2 linked regions of the Drosophila melanogaster genome follow. The protein of the gene in region 1 interacts with the protein of each later gene in a pairwise test. Each region holds a gene or a part of one and is shown on either strand. Other genes may lie near its edges.

Region 1 (3,366 bases):
TGGGCCAAAAAAACCCCCACTGCTCTCCCCACTCTTTCTACTCGTTGCTCGCTGTTGTTGTTGCGCTGGTCGAAAACCAAAATAAAATACACGTAAAATTCAATTAGCCACAAATTGTTGCACTCTTTTTTTCCGTTTGCGTTAATTGGATTTGCGGAATTTAGCCAAATATATTGGACCAAACACACACCACACACACACAGGGATAACCATCGACCTCCGTTAATGGCGTAAATGGTATAAGCCAGTCGCAGGTTTTTTTTTCTATTTTTTTTTTTTTTTCGTTGTTGCCACGGCCTAAAACCTGTTCTTCTGCCCAATCATCCAGGCCTAAACCGAGCGAATTTCACGACTAATCGTGCCGTTTTAGGACTTTCTGATCTGTTGATCTATGTTTTGATTAACTTATTTGCTTGGCTGCTTACTTTTCACAGTCACTGGAGCAATTGCATTACAATTGCTTTTTCTGCGCTTTTAACAACTTTTTTCGACCACCTTACCATCCACCAAGCAGTGTGACCACACCGCGCATTGACCGTTAAAATGTCAGGCTCAGAAAAATACACCTCGCGGTTGAAAAATATACCGCAAACGTACTTTGAGCTGAAGTTCTAGCCGGGACTCGAACCACAGTGCAGTGGGCCTAAAGTGAATATTCTCAAGATTGTGGAGTTTTTAGGTTTTACTTGTTACCCGCTCGTGCATTCAACAATAGTTTAAGATAAGGTAGCTTAATGATAGATTAACATTTAAGGGCTTCTTTGACCAGTGCCTGCTGCTTTTGGATGTCCGTTCTCAGTTTATCCGCGTTATTTTCCAGCTTCGCATAGCATTCTTTTAACTGATTTCGTTGGGTCTCCAGATCTCCCACGGTGGCCGACAGTTTCTTCACCTTCTGATCGTACTCGTCGAACATCTGCCACCATGTTGAAAGGGGAAGATTCTCTGGTTCAGTCATGAAAGCGTGCTCCAAGTCCAAGTTGTCTGTAGATCCGCTTATCGTAGGCTGATTGACCTCGAACGTTTCCATGTCCGCCAGCATTTCCTCTACACTGGGAGCCGTGGGTGGAGGCTCTACTTTGGGCCTGGACTTCCTAAACATCGTCTGTTTCCTTGAAACTACAATTTAGAGAACTGGAAACGTCAGCACTTGTTGAATTGGGGATTCAATATGTGGGGTTACCTGATGTATCGAGTCTCGTAGTCTTAGTGATATTAAGGTTAATTATCGTACTAACAATTTAGTCTAAAACCCGTATATAAGCCGTAAAATGGAATTCAATAAATTTTCTGCAATTGTTTACAAAACAGTGGTAAATAATGAAGTGGCCAGTAATTATTATTTCAAAAATACCAATTAAAGTTAATCTGTGTAATCGATAGCAGTCTCTATATAAGCAATAATAGTTTGTTTACCACTGTGTGCCATCCCTAATTTGCGCGGCATATTTTTAGTCGAATTGCCATTTTTACAAAATTTTAAGCAAACAATGCGGAATCAGGACGATCTAAGTCAGGGCGCCAAACAGAGATTTGTGGAGACGGCTGCCAGGGCCAAGAATCCCCTCGAATCTCTGAGCTACCAAAGCTACAAAGCCCCCAGCGGAGAGGAATTCAAACTCATCTGCCGAGCGAAGTCGGATGCGGACTCCAAACTGCTGAAATGGGCCTTTAAGCTGGCCGAGACGAACGTGGGACCCTATTACAAGCAACTCAAGATGGGCTGGCAGCCCAAGATCAAAGCCGCCGAGCTGAACAAGAACTGGGCTCGCTACTTGGTGGCCCAGAACGAAAAGAAGGAGAACGTGGCCTACGCAATGTTCCGCTTCGACATGGATCACGGGGACTGTGTCCTGTATTGGTGGGTATTCCATAAGTAAAGCCCTTATGCATTAATTACGTAGAACTTCCTTTCAGTTACGAAATGCAAGTGGCTGCAGAGTATCGTAGAAAAGGCCTGGGAAAGTTCATCATGAGCACTTTGGAGGACTGCGCTCGCCTGTGGCATCTGGAAAAGGTCATGCTGACCGTTCTCAACAACAACGAAGCCTCCATTTCCTTCTTCAAGCAACTGGGCTACGTCAAGGACGAGATCTCGCCAGATGTCCTGGAACAAGCCGACTACCAAATCTTTAGCAAATCGATGCTAAGCTGAGTATTTATTGGACACCGAAGATTATAGATATTTAGCAACTAGTATAACAATGCGTTTATTTCAACAAATTGGCCGTGGTCTCCAAGTGCGTGGCCATGCGAATGTCCTGCGAACTGAGACCGCCCACGTCGTGCGTGGACAGGGTCACGTCCACCTTGTTGTAGCAGTTGAACCACTCGGGATGGTGGTTGATCTTCTCGGCCAGCAATGCCACGCCCGTCATGAAGCTGAAGGCCTGGTTGAAGTCCTTCAGCACGAACTGCTTGAAGATGGCGTCGCGCCCCTCCACCAAAGTCCAGCCGGCGTCCAGGAGGGGCTGCAGCTTCTCGGCGCGTTCCTGTTCGTTTAGTCGTACCTAAAGGGCAGCGAGCAACAAGTATGTGAGTGTTATTGATTCATACGATATATATACAAAATAATTTGTGAGCGAAAAACCTCCATTTCTGGCCAAAATCACAGTGATTCTATTTGTTAGGGCATAAAGCACTTTCCGAAAGTCCAAACCTGTCCTTGGGTGGTCGATTGATTTCAGTTGGAGGCGATAAGGGAACCACTCGATTTCGCTGAGACTCCGTTCACCTTGATCTCAAACTCACTTTCGGCTCGTACTTACCACCATTTTGCGCTTTTTCGCTGTGATTGCGGTTGCTGTTGCTTCTGTGGTTGGGGTGTTGTGGATTCTCCGGAGATTCGCACTGCCACCAGTTGCTGCCCGTGCTGCTTCTCTCGCTGCTGGCGAATACAGAACTGAGATTTGCGACAGGCTGCGCGAAAAATAAAGCTCAGATTTAAGTTTGGTATTTTTGCCCCTCCCTCCCCTTCCGCACATTCCACCTTTTGAATACCTTCTACTCGTTGCTGTTGTTGCAGTTGTGGGGAATAAACCAGCTCTGCGGCTGCTGGCAAGCAGATTGGCCACTTTCTGGCAGTTCGGCTTAATCACATTCTGAGCGCATTTAATTGTTAACAACATTTTCGATCCAAAACTCGTTTGTTCTTAGCTGCTGTTTTTGTTGCTGTTGCTGTCGGCGCGGAACAGCTGACTTGTGTCGTATGTTAGCTAACATTGAGTTAACATGGAGCTGTAAAAACTGCCAACTTGTTTTGACAACGTCTGCTAGCAACATAACTGTTATAAAGTCTAATGCCGCGTAATTTGAATTTAGATTTCTTATTGGATTTCTTATTGATTTCTAGAGATTTGACATACA
Region 2 (3,170 bases), 6.7 Mb from region 1:
TGCAAATGGCTGGGATCTGTGGGCATTATCCAATTGACCAACTACCATGCTACCCCACTACCATTACCATTACCATAATGTGCAATGTGCCAATTGGGCTCAAATTAAAAGTTTTATTAATTGTCAATTAAACGCTGTCGCCCAGCAGCTGCTTTGTGGCATAATTTTTGGGTCAATCTGCATATCTGATTAACAGGTTATACCGCTCAGTCTACTACATATACCATGCACCAGATGCCGCGGGGCACAGACAACAAGAAGTAAAAGAAAGGACCCCATATGGTGCCGACGGCTCAAGTGATTAAGTGCACGACGAGATCTTCAAATGCAGTGCAACATGTGCACAAATACAAAACACACACACACACACACACACACGCATATTGAAAATGTATGTAAATTCTAATTAAGATTGTGGATGAAGACCCCCAGCACCTTGATACTTCTGCTCAATGCGCATTGCGCATGCGCAGCCCCGCATCCGAAGATCCATAAAAATAGCTCACTAATTATTTGTGTGCTAGGGTTACAGTTCTCATAAAAAACAAACAAACTGTCGGGCGTTTTATGGATCTTCTGCCTCTATGGCCTCAATGCCCCCGCGAAGTTTTCGATCCCCATTCGATTCGAAACCGAAGAAGAGCTACGACCAATCACTTTTCAATTCCTATGAGCAGTTGAGCATCAATTGATTTCGATATGAAAATAAAATACATTTATTTATTATCACATTACGTATCACAGCCATTCGCCCGCCTACGCCCTGGCATCTGGATCGCCACATCCATCGTGCGGACCTTGTGCCGGCATTTCCGAGCTGATTAGCCTCCGAATCTCGACCAGAACCCGGTCCGTTCGAGCCTCCAGGTTGTCGAGGGCGGTGTTTAGGTCATCCAAGCTGGAATTGACTCTGGCCATCAGACGCTCCGAGTTGTTGGTCAGCTCGATGAGGTCATCGAAACTGCTGGCCTGGCGACTCTCCATCGATATCCTGTCCAGATCCAGCTGCAGCTGCTCATCGGCGCTGTCCATCTGGGCTTTAAGGGCTGGGAAAACAACTTTCGATTTAAATTTAAATTTTTTTCACCCTAAATCATGATTTTCGGTGTTATTTTGTGCCATGCGATCCGAAGTGTAAAGCAAATTTGACTTGGTTTGTTTTGCTATCGAACATAATTAAAGTTGCTTACCATAAACCAATTTAATTTAATTGTAATTGCAGCTAACTGGCTTTTGGGTACTTTTGCTTTTAACGCCAAATGTGAAATATTAAGTATATTTTATTTAAGCGATGGCACCTGTAAATTGAGATTTAAGGGGTATATTAAATGGGTGAACTTGATGATTTTTTTTTTTCATCAAACGTTTATTAAAGTCTATTGCTTAAAAAAATGAAAGTAAATTGCTTGCCATTTTAGGAGGATATTTTTGAAAAATCGTTACAACTTTTCAAATACAATAAATTAAATGTTTTGAAAAATATTTGCGCCCAGGGCACCAGAAAGTCCACTCTTCTTTTTCGACTATTGTTTGTTTTGCTTTGTTTGTAATTGGCGAGCTATTACAAGAGCTACACTCGTTCATTTCATTAAACCCATTTACAAAATGGCTTTGTCCATTATTTATACATATCAATTATAAATTTGTGCGCTGCGACTGCAATATTCATATTCACTTGTCAAAATGTCAACTCAAAATAGAATATTTATGAATTTTTATGTGTGCATATCGGTCCGTGATTTGTTTGTTTTACGCTCTCCTTTCGAGAACTCTTTGTTAGCATTCAGGATTGGGTTGAAGTAAATAATAAAAAAAATGCAGCAACCAGAAAAGAGGAGAAAATGACAATTCAGCCTATAAATACGCGGCGGCAACCGAAGTTGAAATCAATTTTTTTGGCCCCATACTGCGGTGGTCGCGTTCCCCCCCACCCCCGCACCAGTTTGGTACTGAAAATTGGAAGTGGGCTCCACCGAATGCGGTGCCACTATTTAGTTTAGCCGCAGAACAAGGTGCCTCAATTTATTTTTAATTGCATGCAAATTGAGCCAATCGGCCGGCTGATGGATGTGGTTGCTTGTCCAACGATGCGGTCTTTTTTTTCGGCTATTAAGAGGATGGACTGCTGCTCCTTTCTGTTTCATCTGCTGGCTTAGGCATTTTCACTTAATGAATTTTCATTCAAAGTGACTGCTGCAAGGATGTGTCGTCCTGGCTGTGAAGTGAACTTCCTGCCATTAACCGAACTGCTGCTGCTGCTGCTGCCAGCATGGTGGCCAAAAAGTATGCCTCTGTTGACGTTTTCTTTGTGGTTGGCTAAAATCTGTTATTATTGCCATTAAGCTGGCTTTTGTTGTCATCTCTCCGGCCTGCCTACATACGCATACACATACATCTATGTATGCATATGCATTTGTGCATTTACCCTGCCGATATCCTTCAGCTCGAGTGGTTGTGTGGATTTTCCTGGTCTTCCAGCGGGTTAACTTGGATCTGTTCTTGAGGTTGTTATCACTTGGTTATTGAATTTTCCGCACACACTTTACAAGCTCTAAATCTAAACGGCTCAACTTGTTGCCGCCGCCCAGTTTGAAAACGTTTTTGTTACTGCTCGTCGTCATTAGTTGAAAAGCGCTCTTAGTTTGCCTCGTTTGTTTGCCGAAAAGTCTCATTGTTGCCACGTCTTTGGGTCCGGCTTCTTCTGGTTCTGTTGTTGCTGCATAACGCAGCCTGTTGTTGTCATCAGGTTGCATTTGCGTTTTACACTGTTTTGCCCAAATAAAGGCATATAATTTATGTGTGTGGTAGTAGTCCTGGTCGTTGTGCCACGTTGAATGTCCTTACCGAGCTTATATCCGAGCGGAGAATACTAAGTGAGCTGCAGCTCCATTGTGGTCCATAAACTTTGTCACGCTGTGTAGCCTCTTCCCTGGCTGCCGGCACTGGTTGTGGCCATCCTGGCCGAAGGACACTGCTTTGGAGGCGATTGCTCAGGCAGGACATGTGTGCCCCGCATCGCTGCCCGTTATTGTTTTCCAACTTTTCACTTTGGTTATGAGATGTCCGAGCGCCGCAGTCAGTTGCACGCTCGCCTCCATCAGCGTCGTCTCCATTCTCCATGCCGCTGACCACAGCGGACAACGTGGACTTTTTGACCAAGCTGGTCGTGT

Evidence for each region.
Region 2: the proteins of CG18731 (region 1) and CG13838 interact in a two-hybrid assay, tested with the Drosophila melanogaster proteins (2 studies listed by BioGRID).

Annotation. Positions count from the first base shown.
Region 1 is NT_033777.3:29,722,991-29,726,356, reverse strand, and holds CG18731 (uncharacterized protein), read right to left. Parts: upstream 1,331-3,366; 5' UTR 1,184-1,330; intron 1,135-1,183; exon of another isoform or gene 1,120-1,134; 5' UTR 1,103-1,119; coding exon 743-1,102; 3' UTR 667-742; downstream 1-666. Other genes in the region: Naa40 (N(alpha)-acetyltransferase 40), read left to right, coding at 1,491-1,861, 1,918-2,155; Pcd (pterin-4a-carbinolamine dehydratase), read right to left, coding at 2,211-2,510, 2,769-2,919, 3,001-3,128.
Region 2 is NT_033777.3:23,040,195-23,043,364, reverse strand, and holds CG13838 (uncharacterized protein), read right to left. Parts: upstream 1,125-3,170; 5' UTR 1,033-1,124; coding exon 757-1,032; 3' UTR 696-756; downstream 1-695.